Linked DNA regions of Lytechinus pictus. The protein of the gene in region 1 binds, or shares a complex with, the protein of each later gene. Links are inferred from orthologs where the notes say so. Each region holds a gene or a part of one and is shown on either strand. Other genes may lie near its edges. The genes, in order: eukaryotic translation initiation factor 3 subunit C-like, eukaryotic translation initiation factor 3 subunit B-like, eukaryotic translation initiation factor 3 subunit L-like and eukaryotic translation initiation factor 3 subunit I-like.

Evidence for each region.
Region 2: eukaryotic translation initiation factor 3 subunit C-like (region 1) and eukaryotic translation initiation factor 3 subunit B-like share a complex: the UniProt entries of both Caenorhabditis elegans proteins name them as parts of the eukaryotic translation initiation factor 3 (eIF-3) complex. The link is inferred for Lytechinus pictus from reciprocal best matches to the Caenorhabditis elegans genes eif-3.C and eif-3.B.
Region 3: eukaryotic translation initiation factor 3 subunit C-like (region 1) and eukaryotic translation initiation factor 3 subunit L-like share a complex: the UniProt entries of both Caenorhabditis elegans proteins name them as parts of the eukaryotic translation initiation factor 3 (eIF-3) complex. The link is inferred for Lytechinus pictus from reciprocal best matches to the Caenorhabditis elegans genes eif-3.C and eif-3.L.
Region 4: eukaryotic translation initiation factor 3 subunit C-like (region 1) and eukaryotic translation initiation factor 3 subunit I-like share a complex: the UniProt entries of both Caenorhabditis elegans proteins name them as parts of the eukaryotic translation initiation factor 3 (eIF-3) complex. The link is inferred for Lytechinus pictus from reciprocal best matches to the Caenorhabditis elegans genes eif-3.C and eif-3.I.

The regions. Positions count from the first base shown.
Region 1 is NC_087246.1:16,950,607-16,958,448, reverse strand, and holds the start of eukaryotic translation initiation factor 3 subunit C-like, read right to left. Parts: upstream 3,013-7,842; 5' UTR 2,854-3,012; intron 1-2,853. UniProt on the Caenorhabditis elegans protein: Component of the eukaryotic translation initiation factor 3 (eIF-3) complex, which is involved in protein synthesis of a specialized repertoire of mRNAs and, together with other initiation factors, stimulates binding of mRNA and methionyl-tRNAi to the 40S ribosome.
Region 2 is NC_087254.1:11,012,925-11,020,886, forward strand, and holds the start of eukaryotic translation initiation factor 3 subunit B-like, read right to left. Parts: upstream 3,021-7,962; 5' UTR 2,825-3,020; intron 1,604-2,824; 5' UTR 1,484-1,603; intron 962-1,483; 5' UTR 958-961; coding exon 904-957; intron 1-903. UniProt on the Caenorhabditis elegans protein: RNA-binding component of the eukaryotic translation initiation factor 3 (eIF-3) complex, which is involved in protein synthesis of a specialized repertoire of mRNAs and, together with other initiation factors, stimulates binding of mRNA and methionyl-tRNAi to the 40S ribosome.
Region 3 is NC_087254.1:6,009,125-6,016,976, forward strand, and holds the start of eukaryotic translation initiation factor 3 subunit L-like, read right to left. Parts: upstream 3,017-7,852; 5' UTR 2,853-3,016; coding exon 2,817-2,852; intron 1-2,816. UniProt on the Caenorhabditis elegans protein: Component of the eukaryotic translation initiation factor 3 (eIF-3) complex, which is involved in protein synthesis of a specialized repertoire of mRNAs and, together with other initiation factors, stimulates binding of mRNA and methionyl-tRNAi to the 40S ribosome.
Region 4 is NC_087261.1:4,539,963-4,546,866, reverse strand, and holds the start of eukaryotic translation initiation factor 3 subunit I-like, read right to left. Parts: upstream 3,009-6,904; 5' UTR 2,894-3,008; coding exon 2,891-2,893; intron 1-2,890. UniProt on the Caenorhabditis elegans protein: Component of the eukaryotic translation initiation factor 3 (eIF-3) complex, which is involved in protein synthesis of a specialized repertoire of mRNAs and, together with other initiation factors, stimulates binding of mRNA and methionyl-tRNAi to the 40S ribosome.

The DNA.
Region 1 (7,842 bases):
TTTTATCTAAAAACAGCGCATAAATTTCTTTGTGGACATGATAACGTATCGAGATGAAAGATAGTCTGAAAATTCTCAAACCTTTTCTTAATGTTAACTTCCTTGGAAAATAAAATTTACAAGAGGTAGTGGCTATTCAATTGTAACTTAATGAAGCATGCGATTTTTCTCAGTCAACAATAAATTCTAGCTGTATCCAGCAAAAACTTCTTTGACAAAAGAAGGCATTCGGATCCAAGAGATATTACAGAGTTGGATTTGATGACTTTTCGGCAATAGATCTCATTTGAGATGATGGATCATTTCAAAGAAAATATGCCTGGGAGAGCAGCCACATGTATTTTAAGCACTGTAGTGCACAAGCATAAGCGTCAGAGGCGCATGGGAAATTATGCATCATGTCAATAATGCACTAAATGTTTTTACAGAAGAGATGCTTCTATTGGTTGACCTAAGCAGATAAGATCACTGTCAAATTCTCATCGCTTCACTTTGGCAATGCTTGGCTTCAGACTTCATGGTAGTTTTGATATGGACTGAAGTTAGCGACCAAAATATCTGTCTGCCAGCAGCTCACCCATTGTTTGCCGCATGTTCACATATTGGTCGCTAACTGCAGTCCATATCAAAATTACGGAAAATCCAAGGAAAATGATGTCTGAGAATTTGAACGGAGACCTCCCAATTAAAGTCGAAATACAGCTGTTCCCGATATGCAATATTCGGAAAAGCAGTGGGCGTAATCGCATATTGACCATGTTGACCTTAAAATATGATACCTGGGAAATCCCTTGGAATTGGGCATAAAGTTATACAAAAAATTATTTGCCTCTCGGTGTCTACAGACCAGCAATAGTCACTTACGGTGTGTTTATGCTTCCATTGCGAGGACAGAATCAGCGTTTTCAAACGTCGATTCAAAACGCCGATTGTAAACGTGGTTCTGGGAGTGCTGTTTATGCTTAACTTTTCAGAGGCGAAATCACGATCTCCAGCTGTCCTATATAGGGTCTGCTGATATTTTATTTTATTTCCAAAACCACTTGCCCGATCGGGCAATTGACTTAGGGAAATGCTTGCAAGCACATCATTTCCACTTGCCCCGGGCAAGCGGGTTTGTCGCGCCCTGTATAAAGTCTCTGGAATGGCGCGCACAGGTCAAAGACCCGACCCTGGGGGGCCAGTCAAATGTATTGCTGTACACACGCGTGGCCAAATTATTTGCAAACACCCCCTAAACGAGTTTTTCTCTGTGTGCAAAATATCCCCCTAAAACACAGTGGCAAATTGTATAGAACGGATAGCGGTGCGTTTAACGCTAGCGGGCGTGTACATGTTGCTTATTACATGACGTCATCCAGCCACTGCCGAGAGCCAATTTATGAATGAAAATATAGTAAGCATGCGCACTGCAAGCCTTCCATTGCCCCACACAGTATTCCACCAAAACAAGTGTGCAATTCTCTATCATACCAAAATCGACCTAGAATTTCACTTTCCTATATTTTATATGAATTATGAAAGGTATTCTTGGAGGAACTATTTTATCACTGATACCGCACAGGTAAGCGAATTTCGATTAATTCTTGATTTTCCGTCAAAATCTTACGAATTAGCGTCGATATGGCATCGTGTTCGTTGAAGTTTGTAGAGTCTATCTCAATGTGTACAAAGTCAAATGATCTCCGGGTTTCGGAGCGTCGCGTGAATATGCATGAAATTGCCGAGTCTCGATAATTTTTGATCGATACTGGAGCGATCTAATCACGAACCAAGACCATTTCCCGCGTAGACAATGTGACCGGATATCGTTAGCACTATTGATACTTTCGCACGCAGTCCGAAGGGATTATTTTGGTGACCACGTAGTCATGACGTGATCTGCGCGATTGGCCAATCAGCAGTCTCCGACTCGCTGAGCCGAGACGGTCTATCCATTGTACACAGTCTATGGACAATTTGCCACTGTGTAAACAAGTTTTTCGCGGGATTTCTTTACAAATTTTGGCCCCCAAACCAAACAAGTTGTTGCCAGAATATGACCCCGGGAAAAAAAAACATACCCTAGACATGTTTGGCTAGTATTTTAGTAATTAAAAAAAAGAGCTTTGGAAAAAAAAATACCCTAAAAGGTTAAATTATTAATGTTTGACCCTGCGATTAACCATTGACCAGTCTTTCAAAACTACCCCTTTTTCTGAAAATATGTGTTTTTAATACCCTTAACGAGTGCACGCGCGGCCCGCGTCCAAAACTGAAAAACACCCCTTTATTTGCGTTTATTGGGTCACGCATGTCTACCGGCGTAGTCTACGGCAATACATTTGACAGCCATCTTTTGGAGACCAGCCGAGGTTTGACTTGCCTTTGAGCCAGTTTGTAAAATTAAAAATAACTGATGAATTGATTGAGAGACTTGCTATTTTCGAAGTTACTGGTGGGGAAATTCTCTCGAAGTCGGCTGATGCGAAACTGCATTAGCGCCTAAATGGCGACCCTAAGGTCCATCATGCACAAATCGCCCGTTTTCGGCACGTGCGATTTCTTACGTGCACAAGTGAACGGGAACTATCACACTCTCGTGATAGATGTGAACAGTTTGAACATGAACAATATCGCAATTTACGCTGTTGTGCCAGGTATCTTCGCAATGAATGGGCGCATGATCGACAGAACGAAAAGGTCTGCGACATAGCTCCTCTTTGCAGGATTTATAATGAACGACACATAAGTTTTAAAACTATCACACATGATATTCAAAGATAACTAGTCAACATTTTTCACATTCATTCAACAAATGCAGTGCTTAATGCGAATTTGGTTCAACAATGTGCAATATGTTAACTTTCTTACCTAACCTGCGTGAGCAATCTCGGAATCATAATCCGCCATATATGAAGGCGCGCGCGAACGCTCGCGGTCGCTCGCGCTCGCGCTCGCATCTAGCTAGCATAGCTATACGCTAGCCATCGCATTCTAGGAAGTGGGCTACACGTGCACAATGTGAAATGCATGGGCGAAAAGTTGTGACTCGGCCAAAATAAACTCAGCACTCATAGGTGCTCTGAAGTTTTATCTTTTAAATGCCATTAATTTTTTTTAGTTTCGTTCATGCTTGAGCAAACACGAAATGTTTTTGTCTGGGGTTAAAAAGGAGGCTTGCGCCAAAATTGCATAAAATGATAAATATGACGATCGGACTTCTTGCTAATCAGCAGACTTCATTTTAATCTTTTCATTATCTTTGCCATAACTTTCAAATTATGAATTGTTTTGTTGTTGTTTCTTTTTAATATGTTCTCTTTTAGAGTTGAATATTCCTTCGATCTTCAAGCAAAAACAATTTTTTTTTCAACCGAAGTATGGGAGAGCGTGTATTTTTTTCAAATCCTTTCATTGTGTGCTACAAAGGTTATGGTGCCTTTTGAACAGTGCCACTTTTTTATGGGCGGGGGCTCGGGGATGCTCCCCCCCCCCCCCTCAATTAAAAAAAAATCATGACCAAGAAAAAAGTGGAAAGGAAATAAAAGGAAAGACAGAAAGTAAAATATGATATCATTTTCTGAATATTATGTCAAAATCTATATCACAAAATTTGATATTGTAATAAAAAAGTGGGAATATTTGCGTGCTCGCTTCGCTCGCTTACAACTTTTTAATTTTTACCCGATCTGCCATATCTAGCTCCTTCAAAATTGACTCAACACACCATTGCTATTGAAAGACATGAATCCCTTCCTGTTTGTCCTGTCAAGCATATAATTAAACTTGGTCAAACGGGAATCAATAAACCCTTGAAAAATTGATTCATGTCTTTAAAGGTACCATATACATAATTTGTTTCACATAATAAAAGGATTTGAATAATTATACAAGTTTTCCCAATTAATAATGCAAATTTTCTTGCTTGGGTTGACAAAAAGTCTTCTTTTCTTACTTATGAAGGAAAATTCAAAGGTAAAAGAAGTTTAAATGAAAAAAAAAATAATAATTCAAGTAAATAAATAAATTTGTAAATAAAATTTGACAGCATAATTTTAAAATTATGGCACAGATAATGAAAAGGTTAGAGGAAGTCTGCTGATTAGCAAGAAGTCTGATCATCATATTACTCATATTCTGCCATTCTGGCGCAAGCCTCTTTTTGAACCCCCGACAAAAACGTCCCGTGTTTGCCCGAGCATAAACATTATTTTTTTTATTTTTTTATTGAATTTCAAAGATAAGATTTCAGAGCATTATTAACATCAAAATATAGATATCATAATTTGAAACAAATTATTTATAGACTGTTCAAAACTGTCCCTTTTTATACGCACTGTATTGGCGGAGAAAAAAAGAAAGAAAACAGAGGAAAGAAAGAAAGGGAAAAAAGAAGGGGAGAGAGACGAAAATAAAAGAAGAGGGAAAAGAGAGGATGAAGAAGATGAGTTAATAAACATATTGTGATCGAGGGGAATGATTTTTCAAATCTTTTTTTTTTGCATTACATAAAATTTTCGCTCACGCTTCGGGTTCGCATTGCATGTTCAATGAGATTATCTTGCTCAGAAGGCTTAAAATATCAAGTTTTGAAGTCAATATACAAGTTTCAGCTCGGACATCGAGCCCATTTTATCAATCTCGCGATAACCCATGCATCCTATTCATAATCACAAAACATAATGTCCAGTTTTCATGCCTCAGCACATTTCGCGCTCTCATTATATAGGCTTATTAGCCTAGATAAAATATTAACATTTTCATTAAAAAATGATGAATTTTTACTGTACTGTCCCTTTTTTTTTAGAAAGGAAAGTATCGACAAGTTTTATCTCGCGCTTAAAGGAAGTCTTCTATAAGTTTCGTAGTCACAAAACATGCACGTTATGCACAACTCCGTGACTTGCAAATGAGAGTCAATTAATGATGTCCCTCACTCACGATTTCTTTTGTTTTTTATGGTTTAAATACAATATTTCAATTTTTACAGATTCGACAATATGGATCCTGACTTGACTTAACCATAAACTGTTAAAATACTGGCAATTCCACGTGTTCAGGGAGGAATAAAAGTTTTGTTTCACTGACAATGGGGAGAAAATTAGATTTTTTTTTCATGTTTCCGAAAAAAAAATATAAAAGAAATAGTGAGTGGGTGACATCATCACTCTGCTCATTTGCATACCAACCCCGGATACCGACCAGGATAGCTGCTTTGTGAAATTATTTGATTGTCGAAAAAAAATTGTCTTCATGGCTATCTGAAAACAGTATAGCAGGTCCCTTTTCGATCATGCAGGCCGGAACGTAGATTAAAAATTTCTGCTCGCGCATGGGCCCTCGAAGTAATTATCTAGTTACATTATTTTATACGCATCTTGTTCAGGATGACAAACATGCCCATAAAAATGTTGAATTATCAGGATAAAATACATGAAATTTACAAAAATTCGCGCTTGCACAAATATAGCTAAGAAGTGACTGTTGGGGGCTTGGGGCTACCCCTTCAAAGAAACAAACAAAAATCAACTTTGAGCTTGGCCGCCTTTATGACGTCCCTCCAAATCCATGCACGCTCGGGCCTATATATTAGGCCTAATATGATTATAGGTGGGGTTATAACAGGTCCCTGGGAACGATTTTTTGACTGGGGTGCTGAACATCTCTCCTCAAAGGTGGGGGAGGGGGTCACAATTGAGTTTTCCATTGTTCTTACACACGCACACACCCACATACATATATATATATATATATATATATATATATATACTTCTTATAGCTTTATTCATTAAAACATAACATATATATATAATTAAATAGTGCGAGTGCGAAGCGCTGGCTAAGATTTTTGGAAATTATATGTATTTTATCATGAAAATTAAACATTTTGAGCAATATGTTTCTGATCCTGAAAAAGATGCGTATGTATTAAATAATTACTGCGAGCGCGAAGCGCGAGAAATTTTTAATATCCGCTCTGGGACTGTTTGCAGTTACCCATGAATACAATACATATTTCAACAATCAAATAATGCGAGCGCGAAGCGCGAGCTAAGATTTTTTGAAGTTTCATTTATTTTGTCCTCAATATTGAACATTTTGAGCAATGTTTGTGATCCTGAACAAAAGGGGCATGTTAAGGACTATTTGCAGTTTCCAATGAAGACGATACATATTTCCACAATCAAATAATAAGTGCACAGTTGTTTTTTTCCAATAAATCCGAATATTTTATTTTTAACTGAAAAATGAAGAATCTCACTGGTTTTGGTCCTAATCCAGTCCTCTAACTTTTTCCAAATGTGATTAACATGCCCGCACTCCGAGTACAGATGCAAAACTGTTTCGATTTCTTTTCGACAGAAGGTATACATTTTGTTTACTGAAACTAATTTCGATTTGAAAAGCAAATACTTTGTAAATAATATATAATACGTTGCACAACTTTATATTGAAACCAACGCAATGTTACATCTTCCTACATTAATAATTTGAGCGCGAAGTGCGAGCAGAAATTTTTAGATATTCTGATCTCAAACTGGATTTTTATGCACGTTTTAAATAAAGGGCAAGTCGAAATCTCAATAAACATGCGCGCGTGTTTAGATTTAGATTCTAAATAGGCCTACATTATTTTGTTTATGAAAATCAATAAGGCGAGCGCGAAGCGCGAGCTGAAAATATTTGATATTTCGATCTGGAAAAGGGTGAATTCATGCACTATTTCAAGCACTGTGTAGGAAAATTCTGAATTGGATATGAATCGGATGAATGACACGAGCGCGAAGCGAGAGCTAATAATTTTTTATCATTATTTTGACCTAGGACCAGGCATTGTAAGGATATTTGTCATCATATGAAAATAATGACTATCTTTCTATTCCTCTTTCTAAGAGCAAGATGAACCTTGACGGTATTCCATTCTAAAAAAGGGACAAATTATTGATTATTAGGAACGTCATGAAAATTTTATTATCTTATTTACTAATCTAATAAGTCTAATTAGAACGCGAAATTTGTTGATATTAAGGCCATAAAATTTGACATTTTAAGCACTTTTGTAAAAAAATTATGAAAAGGATGCAAGGGTTAATATATTTTTGACAAAAATAATGCGAGCGCAAATCGCAAGCCGAAATTAAGGGATAAAATGTCACGAAAGGTCGATTTATTAGAATTAATATGGTATAAATAACTCACCAATCAAAATACGTTTTAATAGGCAATCAAACCTAAAAAGGGATATTTTGAGAACTTTATGGAATACAAGAAGATAATAAGTAATTGACAAATCAGAAGCTATATAGCGCGGAGCGCGAGCTGACCATAAAACGGAAATTTTGGAACACTTTAAAAAAATCAATTTGTAAATCAAACAAAATAACGAAAGCTCGATGTCATACAGAGAAATGTTTATATATATAGACTTCAAAACATGATATTTTAAGCTCCATGATCCTTAATCTAGTAAGCAAGATAAAGTATCTCATAGAAGAAAAGAAAATGCGAGCACGAAGCGTTAGCGAAAATTTTGTATAATAGTGACATCATGAAAAATGTCTTCCCCGGCTCACCTTATTTCATTCACTCGTCTTCTTCCTCTTATTTTACCTCTTCTTTTTTTCTCCTCTCTTTTTCTCCTTTTTCTTTCCTTCTTTCTGTCTTCTTTCTTTCTTTCTTTCTTTCTTTCTTTCTTTCTTTCTTTCTTTCTTTCTTTCTTTCTTTCTTTCTTTCTTTCTTTCTTTCTTTCTTTCTTTCTTTCTTTCTTTCTTTCTTTCTTTCTTTCTTTCTTTCTTTCTTTCTTTCTTTCTTTCTTTCTTTCTTTCTTTCTTTCTTTCTTTCTTTCTTTCTTTCCAGCCA
Region 2 (7,962 bases), on another chromosome or scaffold:
AGCACTTGTGAAACTGAACTAGAACCATGAACGCTAATCACGATCACGAATTCAAATTCTACTCCGGAGGTGAATTCCATTAAGTTTCACTCAAATTACGGTACAAATTTTTCGTCTGAAAGGGTTGACCTCCCGACGTCTTTTGAGGGGCCGAGCTTACGTGACCTTTCAAGCACTTCCGTAGATAATACAATTGTCATGCACTCATCGTTTCGTTTTTGCAATGCAGTGCTTTGATTGGGTTTGATTGACAAGTCACCAAGGACACAGTACCGCCTTCGCTCAGGAATTCGAATTCAGATCAGTTTTCAAGCAAACGTGTGAATGGTACAATGATTCTAAAGACAAATTGCAATCATCATTACAATGATTATTCAAGATTCTCGTGTGAAAAGGCCCTAAGACTGCAAGAAAATTATTGAACATACAGGGTGCTACATAAGCACTTGCCCGATTGCCCGGGGCAAGTAAAAGTTAAAGTCGGGCAAATGTTTTGAAGTAAAGACCAAAACTACTTGCCCGAATTGGGCAAGCAAAAATTCTCACAGTAGAATGACCAAAATTAGGGTCATGGTGGAAAAGATAAAATCACTTTGGAAAAAGAAATGTAAGAACAAGGTACATCAGTTCATGTCAAAAGAGAGAAAAAAGGGTCAATGGTTTAACCGCAATATTTTCTTTTGAAGAGGCAAACTTTTTTTCAAGGATTTTTTCGGGCAAGTGAAATAGATTTCGGGCAAGTATATTCCAACTATTCAAAAAGTTATGTAGCACCCCGACATAGCTGTCAAAGACGGATAGCTGGACCAGGTGACGTGCACACATAATGGATAAGTTACCCACAAGGCACAAGGGTAAAGATGGGTCAGTACGTTTATTGCTAAAAGCCTGAGCTAGACTTACATGATCTTTGTATGGCTGCTTCTCGGGTGAGGTCCATTCATCCGGTAGATTCATAAACCTATCAATAGAAGGAACAATCAAATCAAATCATTAATCAAGCCTTTCTTAAATATGAACATGTATTTACAACAATTATGTACGAGGCAATTTTTCATGACATAATTCTTCACATTAATTTAAATCCGGGTTCCACACATCACAGCTGCCGCCGCCAAACTGAGCAAATTTCTGTGATCTGTGTGTCCAACGTTCTCATGGTCACATCTAGCAGTGCACCCTCCCTACATCTTATCTTAGTCTCTAGAACCTTGCCCCTAAAAAGCATGAACCACTTTTCCTTACACAAATAGCTAGAGCAAACATAGAAATCCCCCCCCCCCCCCAAAAGAAAAAAAAAAAACTTTCAAAGCTGCTCATCAATAACAAGTTGAAAACTACTATAATAAACTACTAAAATTGTGTCATCTAATAAATGAAAGCATGAAACAACACCCTTGTCCTTATCAAAATCAGGATTATGGCACAAGAAGATGACCCTATCAAATCACAATATAAAATGGCTACAAGAAGAGCAACTTACTTGTCAAAATCTGTGATCAAGTTAACAGCAAACGTATGCTGTTTATCAAGCTTGTACCCACTCAATTGCTTGGCAGCTTCGATGGCGTTTTCAGGTGATTTGTATTCGACGAAAACATACCTGTGGTGCAAAAATTAAAAAGGAATAAGAATTCTTAATTACGTAAAAAGGATCTCCGTTGATGCTTTGCAAAAGAACAGTAAAAACAAATCTTGGTAATAAACTTCGGGATTCTTGATCTCTCAAGATTCCTTGTACCAATACTAGAATATTTCAATTCTACAGAATTAGAAAGAAACCTAGAAAGAACTAGAAAGAAAAGGAGGAAGAACTCTCTCCTATCCTCCAACATCAGACTATTCTAGGAGCTGTATTTATCTCCATTCTTCTTTTTGTCAAAATATCAGCAAAAATTGAAATATTATTCATGTAACAGAAGGCAAAAGAATCAGTGGCGCTGCTTCTCTCATGAGCACATCACTGTGCTGTACATGTGTACATGTTTTGTGAAATCTTTCAAGATCCGATTTTTGATTAAATTAGTTTGATTCTTCTCTAACTATTCAAAATCAAGTTTTTTGTTGGGGGGGGGGGGGGGGAATGCCCTTTACAGTGAATGGGTGTCAGCTCTCATGGGGAATAGATTATTTGTTGATCCCAGATTATGTAAAAAGCAGTGGAAATACCTGTAATAGAGGGTAAGCTGTCGATTCGTCTATTGCCAATTCATCCACTCATCACATGGTCTACCTTTATTTAGTCTCATGCCATTCCATCCATCAACATTTCGTCTAACAACCATTTGGTCCATTAACCATTTGGTCCAATAATTACTTCGTCTAATCACCAGTTCGTCTATGACCATTACGTCTAATAACCAGTTACATGTAGTCTTATACCCATTTTCTTTTCATTCATTTCGCCCATTCAACACTTATCCAATTAGACCAAATGGTTTATGGACTAAATGGCTATTGGACCAACTGGTTATTTACCAAAAAGGTGAGTGGACGAAATGGCAATTGGACCATGTACTATAGTGGACGAATTGATGATAGATCAAATGATAGTAGATGAGTTGGTAATTAGAGGAATTGGCATTAGACCAATTGGAAATAAACATAACAGAGACATCTTTTGGGGAAAGCAAACTCTGTATACCAGCAAGAAGCCTCGGGCAACAGTGTCAGGCCAGGAAATCTGAGAAAATGACTACCATATAAGGCATTTTCCAGTGGCATTACATAACAAGTCATAAATCTCAATCTTCCATGGTTAACCAAGAGTGGTGTCAAATCCCCCTTGAAAGCCGACACCCCCACTAACTTCAAAGATTATTACCCTTTTGTCTTGCCATCCTCAGCATCAGGATAGTGCTCTGTGCTGATCTCTCCATACTTGCTACAAACTTTCCTGATGACGTTCTTCAGCTTTGGTAACCGATCTGCTCCAACCTGTGGTACATTGTCGATGACAATTACAGAATCGATGCCAAGAGCTTCCTTTGGTTTGGTTCGAAGTATATCACCGAGAAGTTCTGCAATGAGAGGTTTATACAAGGTTTATAATATTAAGAATGATCTGCAAGTTCGATTAAAAATAAGTTTATATAACTTACATTGAATGCACCATTTATTCTTCAGTAACTCAAATAGCTCTGCTATTTGAGCGTAACTAAGATCTTAGACCCAGCGAGTGTACAAGGTCATAAATGTGAAGACTCACAGGAAGATCAAACTTTTTGACAGCATTCCGTGAAGAAAGTCATATACATTACTGATTCATTTTGTCAAAAAAAATGTGGAACAACTTTTTTTATGTTACAACTCAACTTTATCATCTGCCGTGCCAGCCACATCCTCTGTGAGAAATGTTTTTCCTGATCTTGTTAAGGCTTTTTTTAGTGCTCAGTTAATATTGTTACATCATCAGTTATTTGCAATGTGCGATCTAGTCTTTTGCTGAGATTAAGAGGGTGAATTTCTAGAAGACTAGATTAGGTTTTGTACTGTTGTACCAAATATTTAACATACAAAAATAAAAGGTCATCAATAAAAAAAAAATGAAGGGCATTTGGTCACCACAGTCAGGGTCAGAGACATAGTCCAGACACCTGGGGCAGTTTTCTGAAAACCGTGTTAGCACAAAAACGGTGTCAGCTAACACGATTGGTATTCTAAAAATAGTGTTAGTATGAAAAACATGTGGCCCAAGTGGTAACACCGAGTAGGTCATGAAATACGCAGTGCGCAACGTGCAACCCCCATACGCGGTGTTAGGGAGGAACATAACATGAAATTTGGTATTCTGAAAATGGTGTTAGCTAAAATTTTGTTCAAAGATAAGTAGATAACACAAAAATTCAACACTGCGATAAGGAGGTTAAGTTAGGGAACACGATGGCTGCACTTTTCTAGCAGACGCAAACGTCAAAAAGAACATATCCGGGCATAAAGCTATCATCTGGCAGAATTTACTGTAATTTTCTTTCATTTAGGGATGCCAGTTGGAATTGATCAGAGGGCCTGAAAATCACCTAGAATACAATAATTTGTACACAAAAATGCTATAACTACGGCCTGAAAATAAATTGCCAGAGCCTGAATTTCAGGCTTTTGCCTGAAGACTGGCATCCCTGTTTCATTATTCCAGCTTTATTTTCCATCTCCCTTTTCTCTACTAACAATGATTAAAGTTTAACAAAAATTTCTTTGGAATTTCCTGTGAAAATACACTTCAAATGCATCTTTAATTTGGATTAATTCAAATCATTATCATATATGCTCATGAGTTATTTATTTGGTTACTTTTTGCCATAATATAAAAAAGACAAAAGGAGAGAAAGAAAATTAAAAACATCTAAAAAGGAGAGAAAGAAAATTAAAAACATCTTTAAAAAAGCATGAACGGAAATTAAAAAGAATGGAATTAGCGATTAGGGAACTCTTCTATAATATTCACAATTTTTTAAAACCCTTTTTCAATGGTTACATGTATATATAGTTCCATTGATACAATTTTTTAAACTCTCAATGCTTCTAGGTAATCCTTAATTCATCTATCCCGCCAGTCAATCTATATGCTTCGGATGTGGGAGGATGGGGAGGGGGGGGGGAAGGGGCTGATCGCTACACGCATCAAATTTTAATTCTGTCTCCTGTTATAATTTCGTACCCATGCTGTCTGAAATAATCCATTCTTAATTGTCACAATCACCCCTCCCCATGTCTCTTTCTCGCTCTAACTTTTTATTTAGCTGTAGATCTAGGCTCTATGCGTTTCCAAAATGATGTAACAATGCAGGCTTCATGTCATCGTGCGCACACTCCCCTTTTCCCTGAAAAGATTTTTTCTTTAACAGCGCATTTGATTGGCTTAAAAAGATGCAGATTGGGAGGAGCTGAAGCTAGATTAACACGAAATGAGATAACACGGTTTTCAGAATCCGGATTTGGGGGGTATTAGGGGCGTGTTAAATCAGAGATAACACGGTCAATATTTATACCAAAGTTAACACGTTAACACAGTTTTCAGAATACCGCCCCAGCAGTAACACAACTCCACCAGCGCATCCAGAAACTGAACTTGACGTCTTGACTCGAGACGAAAATAAATGGATGAACACAAAAATGAAGCCAGGCTTTTTTCATGTTTTTTTTTGGGGGGGTTCTTCTTATCTTATCAAAATATCAGCAACGTACTAGTACAGGTTAACACATGAACTGTAACATTAAAGCTTTCAACCGCTATTCCATACTAGTAGGGTGTCTGGACGTTTTTCAGAAATCACCTATTTTGTGAATTAAATCACTGTCACGTAGCAGAAAGTGAAGAGAATATCTGAAATAACATGTAAATCAAGTTTCATAACTCACAAGCATTTAAATCCAGAGATATTTGCTTCTAAAGTTTGGCACATTTTCAGATTAAAACGTAAGCGATATCACACCGATAGTGGCACATTTTGCTTGACCTAAAACACACACAGAGCTGCTGTACGCCGCATCGCATTGAAGGGGCCGGGGCGGAGTTGGAAGGGCGCGCAATACATTCATTACCGCTTTCGTTGTCAAGTTTGCCTTTCAAATACGCAACTTATCAACTGCTCATGAATAATGCGTTCGTAGACGGACACGTCTGGGTCACTGCTCTAGTTGAAAGGTCACATATACGTCACAATAGAGATTACGAGTACTTCGCCAAGCACAAGGTTGCATCTTATTTAGAGTGGAGATCAGTGGTTGCATCACAATGCATAAATCATCGGACTTGCATTCAAGTACATGTCGTATGTGCACACAATAATGGTGTGTGGATGTACCATGTGATTTACGTGCACCGTGCCGTACCGCGATATGCCATTGCTTTTGTGTACTACCAAGGAGCTTCTTGGTACTACCAGTACCAGGGATTCCCCGATGTGCGACGGCAACCCACGTGCAGCATGGAGTGATGAGTCATTAGTATGACGTACCAGAATGACATTGCAATACGTCATAATAATGTTCTTACCACCATAGGCGGCGGCGGGACAGGTTCCCCCCTAAATTTGAGGTGGGGGGGGGGGTGGTCCCCCTAAATTTTAGTTGATAATCTGTTTTATTTTATTTTTTTCTGCTTGTCAATTTTATTTCCTGCGTCCCCCCCCTAAAGTCAGCGTGGACCCCCCTAAAATGTTTCTGCCCCCCCCTAAAATTTTAGTTGATTGCCTTTTTTTTTTTGCTTGTCAATTTTGTTTAACCTGTTATCATCACAAAATTTCGGGTGGAACCCCCTAAATTTTTTGACTTCGCCGCCAATGCTTACCACACGCCAGATCAATTTCCTCATGTCAATTTAAGGTCTATACTTGACTTAATAAAATGTTTGAAAGGTGAACTCAGGGCTGAAAATGATTTCTGAATAAATAGGGTAAGATTCACCAAGCAAAGGCTGGAAATTTTTATGAAAATCTGATAAAAAGTAACTAAGTTATTGAATTTTAAAGATTATTGATGTTTTGTGAAGATAATTATATGCACGTCGTCATCAATATTCATTAGGCCGATTATGTCACATCCCTACTCTTTTTTCTTAAGATATCACATATAAGATGTGAGTATGGTATGTCTCCTTAACAAGCCTTGCAGCAAAGAGTATCAAATGTATTAAATCTGTTGTCAGTTTTTGTTTTCATTCTTGGAGGACAAATTGAACATAATTTTATAATATACGAAAAAATAAATTGGGATATTTCACGTGACACGATCACTTTGCTCATGATTGAATATTGATGAAGACAGTAAAGAGTTGTTTCACTGAAATCTTAAGCATGCTGTAACCTTGATATTAAGTGTCCAATTTTAATAATGTCGACTTTTGTTTCAAATAGTATTATTTTTCACATAGAGTTTCATTCCGATTTCATAACGATCATTGCTGATTTGATTTATACCCCCCCCCCTCACCCCACATACATACCCTAAGTCTTACGTTATTTATCATCATTGTCAACCACCATCGATCACGCACTATTGTCATATTTTTATTAGGGCAATTCCATAAAATATGTACGTTCGAACCTCTATATTTGGGATCTTCATGAAATTTTCGGTCTCTATGATTCTTGGTTCTTTTGACAGTCTGTAACGCTGTCAAATGACCATGACTTGGCCAGTTTATTAAGTGATGTAAGACTTTAGAAAAATGGGGGTCGAATGTACAGAAAGCTTGATCATTTTACGGAATTGCCCATTATCCAAACCATCATGCAATCAAAACCATGCACACCCACTCGTACATCATCACCCTGAGTTCATTTATCACAAAGGCCAATCATCATCGTGAATCCATTTCATCACTTAGGAAAAAAAAGAAATAGTCATTAAAACTTTTTCTCTGTTTGTATATGTCCATAAAACCATAAACATCAGAATCCACACTTCATTTCATGCAGGCAAATCATCACCATCAAAACACTTCATCATGGCGCATTATGTTTACCATCATTTTTAGATGCAATTAAACTTCAAGATGAAAATATAACTTTATTCTACTTTTCTTTATTTCAGATTTATTAGGAAACGATAGAGGGGTTTCGATCGTCGGACCTAAGAAATGAGAATCACCGAGAACTCAAAAATAAAACACATATATAGAGCTTGTATTTCTGTTTCCTTGTCAACTATTCAAGTCATCTTTATTCTAAAATCGAGTTGACATATATGATATATGCTGTTTCATTTCAAGATGCTTAACTCACACAAAATAACGGAATAATACCAAGTGAAATATTTTAAACCGTTCACAATTGTAAAATGTCCACAAGGTTTTTCTGAAGAACCTGTATATAATACTACTGAGAGTAACTGCCTCAATATCTTGTCAACTTTCAATTGGGGAAAACATTGAACACACGAACTACCATACGCATTATTCTTTGCATGAAAATTGCTGTATTATTTGGAAGTTCAGCTGAATATTAAGCACAATTTGGGACA
Region 3 (7,852 bases), on another chromosome or scaffold:
TGGCCAGCGCACCTGGTACTAATGCACTGCGTATACGGTACTAGCATAGACCGGCCTTAGCTAGCTTAAAATTCATGACATGCCGTTGCCAATTTCAAGATATTATTTGTATTATTGTATTATTTCCTTTTTTAAACGTAATAGTACTCACCTAAAATTTCAACACCTCGCACGTGCCGATGATACTCTCAAACCCTGGTCTTTGCTTATTTATTTCGTGAACAATTACATCAAAATTAATTTTTTTTTAAATATATGGACATCAAAAAAAGAATCTTGTAAATAATTAACGTGGTGAACTTTGGAATATGTACTAATTAAACTAATATAAAAAAAAGAACTGGTGAATATTGTTCCTTTGATTGGAAATCTCTTGAAAATTAGGGTAAGAGGTGCCTTCTTGTTGAGATCCATGGTGAGAAAGGCAGGACAAGCTGGGTCTTGTTTTTATTGTCAATTAAAGTTTGAAAGTTCATTTATTAATGGGGGTGACTTGAACACATCGGTAGAGCTAAATAATAAAAATAGCTTTTTAGTTGAACAGTTTCATTGTATTATTAGCAATTTAATCCCAGATCTTTTTCTCCCTCCCCCCCCCCCCCATCTCTCTCACGCTCTCTCATCCTCTCTGAATTTTATTTCTTCAAATAGAATGTTGAAGCCCATCGATCAAGCTTTGAATTCCTGCGTCAATCAGGGGAATTCCCTAGGTCTCTTGACGGGCTTGGGGTCGAACATGTGCCATTTGATCTCTCGCATGCGGTCTTTCCATTCAAGTTGTGGAAAATTCCATTCATAAATAATTTAGACTAATATCCAGTCTTTAATTTTTTTCATTCGTTTGATTTTCCTCACTTTACATGGCAGCGACTGTATTTCTCTAAATATTTTTTCAAAAAGGACTGTTTTTTAGACTAGACGTAAAAGTCAAGTGTCGCGCCACGCTACTGATTCATCAATATTCATGAGGAATCGTAACCACGTGATAAAAAAGATCGTCGGAAACGTGAATATTCAACAGCACTGGATGACGTCATTTTTAGTTTTTTGCTTGGGAAACCAAAACCCTGATAGGTATTGGCATGAAACCAACAGGAATAACACTAGAATACGATTTTCTAACGACCATATAATGTGCAGCTCAAAAAATGCACGGGATCATAGTTTTTTTTGTTTTTTCATCATTATTTCTGGATTGAGGGGGCGGGGCTATGTACATTTGACATCAGAATCTCTATCAAAAGTTCTTTTGCTGAAGTTAGCCCACATTTTTCTTAGACCTACCAGTTGCCAATCATAAGCAATTAAATGATCAAAATGTGAAAAAACACGGTCACTTCTGCATTGGTCTCGCCGTGGGTTAGAGAGAAAACTCTGGAGGAATTGGGGTATAAAATCCACTGAAATCTTCGGCATCGGCGACTTTTTAGACAACGAAGGATTATAGTCAGGATCAGTATAGTATTTGTGAGTATGACTGGTGTTGTTTTAATCATTTATATATTATGATTTATATTTTTAAAGATTATTTATTTATTGGTGCAAACTTCATCCGTGAATTTGTGTCCAACAACGAGAGCGCTGCGGCTTGCTGCGGCGCCGGTTCGCACGATCCCAGATTCTCATCGTTAACCACTCTAGGCGACACCCCAATACTTACCCGTGCTAATAAACTGGGACTCCACTCACGCGCGTTTGGGCCTCCCTAGCTTAGAACTAAGCACTAATATCACCTTAAAAACTAAATCTACAAGGTATGTATAATCTATTTATAAATTTAATAATGTTTAATCGGTACTCACCGGTTCTTTTGTTGCATTTTCAGACCATTTCTCACAATTCTTCGTAAATATTTGCGGCAAATTTTGTCGCCATAGACAGCTTAGCGTCCATCTTTATTGATAAATGGAGCGCCCTTTACGATAGTTGTTAATGCCGCGGAGAAATCGTTAGGCATTTTGGCCTGTGTTCAAGGCGTTCTTTCTGTTTTATTTTTATATTGAAGATTGTGCATTTGTTGAATAGCGCCATCTACGTCAGGTATGAGATCGAGTGTATAAATACACTCTTCCAAAATAATTATGATTCCGACCTGGCGCTGTTTAACTTCAATCTCTTTCACCTAAATTAGCGATGAATGCTAGCATTATAAAATATATATTATTAACGTCTGACGAAAAGAATAACCAACCGATCAGCTGACGAGAACGCGAATCACGTGATCTTCATATCAGCTTCGATCGCGAGTCAGAAGAGAGGAGCAGTTGCCCAGAAAATCAGGAAAAAGCCGTGAAAATGTAAGTTCCCCTTCATTTCTTTCAATTTTTTTTATTGCTAACAATGTATTCAATTAGTGAGATCGAAATGTAATGATTAGACAGTACGATAGCTTGGAGTTTTGATAAAATACAAAAATAATCATCTTCACAAAGATTTCTGACACAAAATACTACTGATGTCGCCTATGAGGTCCATACATGTAATGTTGGACCTCATTGGTACTAGGAGTGTCGTTAACCCTATTTCTATTTTTTTTTTAAGTGAGAGAAAAGAAATGTTTACATTTCGGAAACGAAGAATCATCGGGAAATCAAGGAGTACCAAAAGGTAAAAAGTTAATGTCCCCTGGGGGCATCAAGTACAATTGTTCTTATCACATCAAACTTAGATTGATTGCAAGATCTTTCTTTTCAATTAAATAAATACATCACACAAAATATCACACGTGGGACTACAATAAAAAAGAGGGTAAGCAGAGTAACTAAGTTAGTATACATATGGCGATATGTGGTTAAATATATTCACGATACACTCACCTTCGGATCATTGTAATCTTTTCCTTGATTATACATGATTGATATAATAATATACTTCAAATATAAGGACTTCGTTGGAAGGATTTACAGGCGTTTTCATTCACCAACTCCGGATTCCAAGGCAGCTCTTATCACACATGGAACAGATCTTCGTGCGTGCGCATGCGCGTATGTAGGCACATGCTCTAGATCTAGCTCTCGGACGTCACGTACACTGAAAGTTATACAGACTCAAATTTGACACCGTAACAAACATTACCGCATCCCTCTAGTATTATATATGGAGAATAAACTCCAAACCCAAGCCAAAAAAGATGAGTGAATCCAGTCTCCTACTTCATACTCGATACTACTAGTACTCTACACTGTGCAAAAAAGAAGGGTCTATGGATCTGTAGACTACACATCCACGAAAAAGGGGGGCAGGTACGTGCCCCAAATGATCCCAAAATATTTTTCCAAATTTTCTTTTTTATTTAAAATCCTTGTTTTACGTTTACTTGGTCACATCCTACACATTTTTTTAAAATATTTTTTTAATAATTTTTTTTAGGGGGTGAGTCTTCAAACATGCATTGTACGTATTGCCGTACCTCAAGAAGTGTGTAGCCATGTGCGTGGGCCTATCATTCTTCAAAATTACCTCATATAACACCAAATGAAAATTTAAAAAATGAAATGTGAAACCAATATGAATGAATGCGTAAATTCAGAGAATGAATTAATACATGGAATTCATTAGTTTATGATCATTCATTATTTAATCAACTATTGACTGATATATACAGCCCCACTTTTGGCTCAGCCCCCCCCCCCCCCCCACTCTCAAAATCATTCCACTGCCCCTGACAAGGCCTTACGTATTAAATATAGGCCTGTCGATCACCACCTACTGAATTTGTTTTTTATCATTATTATTATTTTATTTGGCATTTCAAAAAAAAAAAAAAAACAGATCAGAGACAAGATCAATCAAAATTTTACACTGATAGAGAAAATAAGACCTGGATGAGAGTTGGAGAGGCTGCCTGGGTATGGAAAAGGCTTACTTGATAGCCATAACCCACAGGTCTTCCTTCCCAAGTCTGACCCATTCCCCTGGGGCAGTAATCTAAATATAGCCCAGGTAGTATATTGTTTTATGTCCTCATGAAAGAAAAATATAATTTGAAGTAAAACTTTTGAAAAAAAAAACCGTCATTTTAGCCATTTTATGTATTGGAGTACATGGAAGAGTAGTCCTTGCCTTACATCACTGTGACATCACGTATGCGGCCAATTTGAAGTCTCCATGGATAAAGTGATTACTAATATTTACAACTTTTAAAAATTCATAGCTTTCTTATGTTTGTCCTATATTGTTCAAACTTTCACCTATCATCTTGTCTGATTTTGCTTTTTCCCCTAAAAACAAGTTTTTATTTGTGTTGGATTTCACTTTAATTCAATTTTATTTAATTTCGGTTTAAACGTACCCTCTTCAGATTTCAAAAGCAACCTTGTTGCCATGTATACTATAGAAAGTTGATTAAAATATAACAAAGTTTACATTGAAAGAAATAATTATGAGCAACAATTTGAGTCAGTAAAAATAATATGCAAGGTTAAAAAGGTTATAAATCATAAGTAATGCATGTCAGTTGATGTATTGATTATTTCTAGCAAAATGCGCTTATTTTACTAATACATAACCTTTATTTTATTCTATTTGATTTTCAGTTCGGGGGCAGTCAAAATATGATAACAAACAAGGAAGTTGATGATTTTTTTTAATATAAGATTATTTTGTAAAAGTAGATGCACGCCGTCATGAATATGCAATATGTGGACTGGCGGTGTCGTGTTTCCACTTTCGCTTTTCCTATGTATGGAAGCATGGTATGGAACCGGTGTGTTGGCTCAGTTGGTAGAGCGTCCGTCTCACAACTGGTGGGTTGGGGGTTCAAATCCCTGCCGCGTCAGACCAAAAGACCAATTTTTTGCTTGTGAAACTTTTTTTTTGGACAAACAAGTATCCCCTCTTTAAAACTCGTTCCAACGCCCCTGCTTCCCCCTTCCTTTTCTTTCCCCTCTCTGCCTCTCCTTTTATGGGGGATGGGGGTCACCGCTTGTAATTTCAATTTCTTTGTGAAAAATAGGTGAAAAGCAATAATCTTTGTGTCCCTTTTACTCATTGAACAATGCAAACTCATTCTATTCGATACACAGGTGTTCATGAATGGAACTCACAGTGCAACAATCTAAAGTCATGTTCAACACTCTCTCGTTTCAGACTATTACTGAAACATCAATTTTTCGAAATAAACTATCATCCTTGGCTGAGAAGACTCCTTTTTTTTTCTTCTTCATTTTATCCACTTTTCTCGCTCTCACTCTTACTATTATTCCTCTCTTATCTAATTTTTCTTTCTCACTTTCCTTATTCTTATGTTGCAATGTGTGTTTGCAGGTGTATGTGGTTTTTTATAGGTATGGTGTGCAGGCCTTTAGCTAATACTTATGTTTTAAAAAAAAGTTAATTTAATGTTATTTTTTGTATTTTATTGTAATTCTTAATTGTCATTCAGGGCCTCAAATATAAGCACAGGATGGTTTTTCAGAGGTCCTGGCTCATTATTATGTATTTGTTTACTTTGTAACTTCTTGATTGTTTTAATTTGCCAAATGAAATTGAGCTTTACTTAAAAAAAAAATAATCATAAATTGTTTTTAAAAAGTTTCCCTTTTTCCTTCTTCCCTTTTTTTTCTTTTTCTTTTTTTCCTTTCGGGGAAATAATTACAATATAATAATGTAAATGTTATTATCATCATCATCATCATCATCATCATCATCATCACCAGCATCATCATTATTATTTCTTTCTTATTCTCTCCTCTCGCCCTTTTCATTCTTTTCCATTTCCATTTTTTTCCTCCCTCCCTTTCACTTCTTTTTCTTCTCTCATTCCCCTCCCTTTACCCCTCTCCCCTTCTCTTTCTTTCCTCTTTCCCATCGTTTCCTCACCTTTCATCCCCCCCTTTCCCTTTTATTTTCCTTCTCCCTTTCATTTCTCCTTTTTTTTTTGGTGGGAGGGGGATCCGTGACAGGCTAAAGGTGTAACAGTTTGTAATTCAAGACCCATTAATGTAAATCTTCCTGTTATTTCTTTATTCTATCTTTCTTTTGTTTCAATTCTGTTCTCTCTATCTCCCTTGTTCACATTCTCTTTCACACGCCTCTAGACTATTCATATGGTATTATGCGTCTCCAAGAACTGATTAATATTATTTTATTATTATTCTCTTTCGTTCCCGATACCTCTCCCCCACTCTCTCCGCTTGCTTTGTTTTATCTTTATCACCCATGCTACTCTCTCCATCTTCCCGTCTTTCTTTCTCTCTCTCTCCTACCCCCTCTTTATTTTTATTGATCTTTATGATTCATATCACCCATTCTACTCTCTCTCTACCCCCCCCCTCTCTCTCTCCCTCTCCCTCTCTCTTTTTCTCTCTCTCACACACCCTGTATTTTTTTTATCTTTATATCACAACCCTTCTGTAAATCACATTTTAGGAAGCTTTCAGTGTGCTTCATAAGACCTCGGATTTAACACTGTATCAAAAATTATTTGAGTCTCATGCATGTTTAATCTTAAAACTACAAAATAAAGAAAACAAATGAACATGCAACTCACATAATAAGATTAATGTATTGAATATATTTATTATTTGCTTTTTACCTCATCATATTTATTTGTTAAGAGTAAACTGATTTACATAACTGTTGAAAATGCTTACTTTACAATGATAAAAGGCAAATTATTTTCAAAATACACATATGTTATAAACCAATTTCTAAGACACATTAAATGGTTGTTTGTACAACAAAAAATGGCAGTTTAAGAACAATGATAGCATGCATGTTATCTCTTACAATGTTAAGTTCGAAAAATAACTTTGTAAAGAATAAGTGAAAAGTTTGTTTCCTGAAACGATGCTGAAGATACAACTATAATAAAATGAAAAATTGATAATTGTTATTAATTCACTTCTTTTTAAAGAAAAAAATACTACATTCTGATATAATCTTTGAATCGTTTTCTACAATTCAAACCATGCATCTGCTTAAAGATTGTTTTAAGAAAGGAAGAAAGCATGGTTGTGTACACTACTTTAGCAATCCTTCTTGTCTGGAAAACTAAATAATATATTTGTTTCTAACTACATGTATAAATACTGCAAAAGCTCACACTCAAAATGCAGTAATATCAAGACATGTGAAATTTAAATTCGTCATAACAGAGGGCCGAATCTACAAAGGGTTATAGAAAATGAATTTTATCTCTGCCTATATAGGCTACTCTGTAGATAACTAAGCAATATAATTACAAATCAAACTGAAACTTTAGCTTAATGATATTTTAAATAATCAGCAATAAGATGTGACTCTCTCTCCATGTAAGACAAGAATACATGTGTAGATTGGATTTAGATTTAAACCTTATGGATTAAAATATAAAGCTAAAACATTTGAATTTAAATCTTTTGAGATTTGAATTTAAATCTTTTGAGAATTGAATTTAAATCTTTTGAGATTTGAAGGTTAACCCTTCAGATTAAAAATAAATCCAATATTTGACTGGTCAATATTCACATCCAATCTGGATTAATTTCAAATCCTTGAAATTAAGAGTGTACCCCAAAGTTTGTTCAACTTTGGTTCCATTTGGAGGGGAATAGAGCGCGGAATTCTGTGTGACATTTGGCATTCTCATGCTCTGCAATTACATTTTACCTTGTCAGTTTAAATCATTTCTATTTCGCAGCAATCACGCGCCTCTAAATATCAAACACACATGATAGCTTATTAGACATGTCACTAACAATACTAAAAGATGAAATTTGATGCACAAAAAATATTGAAATGCACAATCACATGCTATTCCTCTAATTACGAACCTCTAAACTTGTTTCACGCTTTGATCAATGTTAATAAATGAAAGTGGCCTTTTGGATGATGAAAAAGCACGAGAAGTGATAAGTACTGGCTGACATCA
Region 4 (6,904 bases), on another chromosome or scaffold:
CCCAAAACAGACTTGGAAAACCTTAAAGTCCATTATTCCGAATAAAAAACGTGAAAATCTCACAGTTTCGTCTAATTCGGATTGTAATACTGAAACTGCTAACCTATTCAACACTTACTTTGCAAATGTAGGGAGACAATTAGCCAGTGAAATACCCGATATGAACCTCCATACAGAAGATGGTAATTATACAAATGAGACTTTTGCATTCACTCAGGTGAACGAACATGATGTTTTGAAAATCATAAGAAATCTTAAAAACACTAAGTCTGTCGGTGTTGATAAGATATCTGTCTTTGTCTTGAAGGCATGCTCTATGGAGATATCAATGAGTATTGCTAAGTTGATTAATTTATCTTTGTCAAGCGGTATATTTCCGCAACAATGGAAACAAGCTAAGATTATCCCAATTCACAAAGGTGGCGATAAAAATTCTCCTTCGAATTATAGGCCCATCTCAATTTTGCCCTGCGTATCTAAAATACTGGAAAGGGTTGTCCAACGGCAAGTTTTAGATTTTTTGCGAAATAATGATATTCTGACACCTGCCCAATCCGGTTTTCGGCCAAGGCACTCAACCATTACCACTCTCCTAAAGGTAACCAATGACTGGTTTCACTCAATCGATCTTAAACATTACATTGGGGCCGTCTTCGTCGATTTAAAAAAAGCATTCGACACCGTGAATTGTGATATTCTTTTGAAAAAAATGAATAACTTAGGTATTTCTGGCACACCATCCTTATGGTTTCGAAGTTACATGTTAAACCGGGTTTGTAGGACTCTTATCAATTCGGAACTCTCTTATGAATCAGTTATTAACTGCCATGTGCCCCAGGGATCACTCCTGGGGCCACTGCTCTTTATATTATATGTCAATGATCTAGTGAAATGTATTAATACATGTCATATCCAATTGTATGCGGATGACACCGTTTTGTATTTTTCACACCCCTCCATAGATAGAATCAACGAGGCCCTAAACTCAGATTTAGAAAATATGTACCAATGGATGTGCCAGAATAAGTTAAGTGTTAACTGTCAAAAAACGGTCTGTATGCTCATCGGAAGCAAGAATATGATTTCTAAACAAAATGTCCTTCATGTTTCCTTAAATAATACCCCATTAGAACAAGTTCATCATGTCAAATACCTAGGCATCATAGTTGATGATTATTTGAATTTTAACTTGCATATAGACAACATGTTGCAAAAAATAGGTCAATTAGTCGGCTTTCTGGGAAGATTGCGGCGATCCTTAAGTGAATCGATCCTGAAATTAATATATAGTTCATTGATCCTCCCCTACTTTGATTATGGTGATGTTGTTTACGATGCATCCTTTAGGAAATACACAGACCGCCTTCAAAAACTGCAAAACAGAGCAGGTCGTATTATACTCCAAATTAAACCCGAATCTCATATATCTATTTTGGAAATGCATGATACACTAAATTGGCAATTGTTGGACAAAAGAAGAAACGATCATTCCCTTATTCTCATGTATAAGATCATGAAAAATCTATCTCCAAAATATTTAAGAAATGAATTTGAGTTAGTATCACATACGTATCCCTCCCGTTTCGGAACCAAATTTAAATTACCAAAACCAAGAACAAATTACCTCAAAAGATCCTTCAAGTATAAAAGCGCCATGGCTTATAATTCCCTTCCTCTTCACATCAAATCATCCCCTAGTATTAATATTTTCAAATCTAAGATTGTTGATCTGTAGCACATGGACTCCGGTACCCCCCCCCCCATTCCCTGTTAGGTTTGCGCCCCTTAATTTTTTTTTTTTTTTTTTTTTTTTTTTTCTTATTAATGTTTACTGTTGATATTTACATTTTCATTTTTCTTCTGTACATCTGTTATTCTAATGTGGTTTATTTGTGTCTAAATTATACGTTAATGTTAAATGTTATGGACCCCACGGAAGACCAGCGCTACTGTGCCAGTCACGCTGAATGTGGGCTATCCACCGTATTTTATTGTATATAATTGTGCTTTTAATACGGAAATAAATACTACTACTACTATACATAAGCGGTTCAAGGGTCGACCCTATTGTATTTGCGTTGTGTACATGTGGATCGAGGGATCTACACGAGATCGGTCTGGTAAGAAACCTTTTTCTAACATTTTAATTGACCATTTTTTTAAACCTTCCTACGCATTAGGCGTAGGAAGGTGTAGAGATTAATAAAATCACAACAATTTACGTGATTTTTATATTAAAAGATGGATTTCCCTAGGAAATCCATCTTTGTTTACATGTCTCTTATACATATATGAACTGGGGTTCAAGACTCCAATCCAATGATGAAGAAGTAGGCCTATAATATGTCAAAGTATTTAAAAAAGACATCATCATGGAGTCCTCAAGACTACCCCCCCCCCCCCCCCACTCTGGTCTTGGCATTGCCATTGCCGGTATTCTGTACGATGAGAATTTAATCCATTTCTCTAGAGTCTAGCTCCGATTTAACTTTCGTAATGATAAACTTCACGCATGATAAAGATTTAGCAGTGCAGCGCAGAGGCACGACGTCAATCGTCACATGAGCTATCGATAATGCAATCGGTATCGTTCTTTTGAACCCAGCTTCATTGGTGTTGCAGCTCGGTCAGTGGCCTTTTTACACTCTCATCTCAACACCAACACACAAACACAGGCAACACCGATGACCGAACTAGAAATCACACATTCACAAAATGACAGTCACGTCAGTCACAATGCATTGAATTGACGTGCGTTCCCACGTATCTATTTCTGTGTCATGAGCTTTTTTACTACTTTTTAACAGTCCTTTAATTCATAGTTAAGTTTAATATTTTTCTCAAAAAATCATACATAGAATACTACGTAATATGAACATTCATACTTTACCATTTTAAAAAATTATATCAGTGACGAATTAGAGAATCAGTACAATCTTTCACGAAATTATGATACCAGCCGGTAGAATTTTGCAACACATGCGCGGGATCTAAATTAGTCTACGATCAGACGTTGTCAATTTTCAATGATAAAAAAGGGGTTTCCGACATTGTATGGCATGCACAAAGAGATGTATACTAATTACGCTATTAGTTATTAGTATATCTATGGGCATGCATGGGAAGCGTGTGCGGAGGGGACCGGAGGGGAGGTGGGGAGAGGAGGACTGAAGCACCCCTCCCCAATTTTTTGGTTGGTATTCTATCATTAAAATCATTCGGCTTTGTTTACCAAATTAATACATGTGCGATAGTCGCATACCCGGGTAGCATATTCCTACATAATGGTTTGACAAAAAAAACGCCTTCATTCGGGACTGAATAATTTCAGCTTATTATTATCTTCTTCTTTTTTTTGCCTGCTTGCCATTATTTTTTTAATCTGGAATGAAGGCCTTTGCTATTATTTTGTTTCTTTGCTTATTTTGGGGGGAGGATTTTTAATTGTTTGTTTTTGGGGGGTTTGTGATTTTTTTTTAATCACCGACCTGCAATATTTTGGAAGTGGAGACTATTTTTTTGTGTGGGGTGGGCTTGTCAAATTTTTGTTAAACAAAAAAAAACAGTATATACCCCCTCTTAGAAAATCGTTCCCGCGATCTACATATTATGCGTTGCACTGTCAGCTAATAAGCAATCCTTGCTGGTAACGGTACGTGGCAGATCTATGATCGAGGGTACACGGCACATATGCCACCCTCCCCCCTGAAAATCTTCAAAAAAGGGGGAGAGGTATAGTGGGGACATTAACCAGGACGGGAAAAAGAGATCAGAAAAAAAGGAAGGGAGCTGAGGGAAAAGAAAGGGAAGTGAAAGAAGAGAAATGGGAGCTCTAGGAAAGAAAGGTTAAAGGGGATGCAGCACCCCAGGTATTCTTGAAGATGTGTAAAAATGGGGGGGGGGGATGTAACGAAATAATGCTTCTGAACGCAGGCTTAATTAGCCTCACATCTCCATATTCTGCCTCCTCCATGGCCCTGGGAACGGGGGAGCGTTTCATGAAAGGACTTGTCAGACGTTTTATCCGACAAGTCCTATTTTATCCGACAGTTACCATAGTAACATTGCTTATCAGCCAATCAAAATCAAGGAAAGATGTCAGATCTGACAACATGCATGTCGGACAAAAATGTTGATGAAACGCTCCCCTGGGGTGCTGCCTGCACCCCCAAGATTTTCCTTGGGGCAGGGAGGCACTTTCCCCAAAAATTCCCAGTAGGAAAAATGCCCTTTTTTTAAATGGAAAGTATACCCTTTTTTAATGATATATGTGCCCTTTTACAGAATAATTTTTTTTTTTAAGGTTAAACAATACATTTTAGGCCTTAGAAAATTACAATTTGTTTGGCTCGCGCTTCACGCTCGCATCGATTATTGTTTAGTAAGGTACTCATCCTGTTATAGTTGCAAAAGTGCTGTAATAAAATGTCCAGTTTTTAGGTTGGAATATCACAAATTTTCAGCTCGCACTTCATTCTCGCATCAATCATTATTTGGTAAAGTACTCATTAGGCCTATGTTCTTGGTTACAAAAAGTGCTTATCCAGTTTTCAGGTTGGAATATCACAAATTTACAGCTAGCGCTTCGCGCTCGCGTCATTTGATTGATGAGATATAAAATCATCTTCATCAGTCACTATAATGCAATCCTTACCAGTGTCTTTTTCTGGTCAGTATAAAAATTTCAGCTCGCGCGAATTTTCTAGTTAGATACACATTTTTTTCATGATAACAAAAACTGCTCGGTATGTTTAATTTTCAGGATATTTGTCCAAAAGTTTGAGCATGGCGATTCGCGCTCGCAACATCTCGCAAGGATGCACTTTTAACAGCTAATAATTTGCGCGATAATTGACCAAAAGGCGAGTTTCACAGCAGCTTTTAGAATGGAAAAATTTTCCAAACCGCTCGCTCGCTGAAAAACAAAGCCTAAATATATTTCATCTATCAGAAATCACTTCAAAAAGGCTTTGCTCAACTTAATACAAAACACAAAACTTCTTAACGCAGATGATAATCTCATGTTAAAAATATTCGTTTGCAACCAAATACCCATTTTGATATATAAGTGCCCTTTTTTTTCTTTGCCCCCCCCCCCCCCCCCAACAAAAATGCGTCCGCTGCGCCTGTTTGGGGTGCTGCATGTATTATTTTACAGTGAAACAGCACCTCCTGAAATTCTGGAAGGAGTGAGAAAAAAATTGGATAAATATAACCCGATCGAGGGGCCTTTATTTGGTATACCGGTAGTGAACCCCCCCCCTCCTTTTCAAATTTGTAGGGACCAATAATGACTTCCATTTTGTATTGATAACTCTTGTTTATTCTTTTTTATTTTTTGGGACCAATAATATCACTTCCATTTTGTAGTGAAAACCTTTTTTTTTGCTCTTCAAATTTACATCAGCACCCCAATTTAAAAAATCGCTCCCAGGGCCCTGGGGAGCGTTTCATCAATATTTTCATCCGACAAGTTGTCAGATCTGACATCTTTCCTTGATTCTGATTGGCTGAGAGGTACTGTTACTATGGTAACTGTCGGCAGGTCTGACTGTCGGATAAAATGGGACTTGTCGGATAAAACGTCCGACAAGTCCTTTCATGAAACGCCCCCCTGATCTCCTCTTTAGGTTGGCTGGATCATCATGGGTCAGCTCCAAACTTATTTCATTATTATTATCATAATCATCATCATGAAGCTACTGTCGCACATCTGTTAACAATCAGTGAAAGCAATCAAATAATATTTTTGTTTGTGACAGTTCATTTTGCACAATTTTATTTTTGCACGGTCTATGTTCGAAATGAGAATAAAGCGTAAATTGCAAGGTGAATCAGAACAAAATTTCATGAGTGTGCATTTTCGGCCTTTTCACTACTTGAAAATCAGACTGTCATAGGGATTCTTGACTCTTAAAGGGATGGTCCAGGCTGGAGGTATTTTTATCCCAATAAAAAGAGTAAAATTCACAAAGCAAAATGCTGAAAATTTGACCACTTGTTCTTTTTATTTTATTATATGAAATAAGGTTTATTTTAAAAGAAATTCTACCAAGAAATAAAACAATTGGATTGACAACGGATTATAAGTGCATTAGTTATTCATCGCCGCAACTTATTTCATCATAATGGAGACACATCATTTACACATGTATAAAAAAATGAAACATTTATGATTTCATGTAATAACATTATAAAAATGAATGTGGGGATGCCATCATCAGCCCACCTAATGAATATTCATGATAGTGTGCATATAACTGTTTTCACAAAATGTTGATAAACTTCACTTTTTTTTATTTGATATCCGATTTTGATGAAGTTTTCAGCATTTTGCTCTGTGAATTTTACTCTATTTATTTAGATATAAATATTTTCAGCCCGGACCATCCCTTTAATAAAATGTCAAAATAATTTGTGTTGATGATTATGTGTCCAACCGACAAAAATGGTCAAAATCAACCATAAGTTAGAATTTACCAGAATTTTGGTTGATATTGACTATTTTTATCGGTCGAACATAACCTGTGACGGTTACTGCATCATTTTGAAAAACAACAATCTTTGACCTGCCTGATCCATCTGAATTTCAGAAACTTATGCATTTATCCACTCACTCCACCTTTAGCAATGAAAAAGGAGAAAAGAAGAGCCACGTACAATGCCCAGAAGGGCTCTGATTCCATTTGAGATGATCTTGTTTTCCAAACAGTTTATATTATCAATAATATCATTCAGTTGAAGAGTTTATCATGGACCTATACAACGGTCCAAGAGTTTATTAACCATTGTGGTTAATAAACTCTTGAAGAGCGACCACGCCCATCTTTCATCTTTGTCCCCCTGGCCTAGCTACCGATCGTACGATTTTTATACTGTACTCTTTGGCCAACCCGGCCCACGC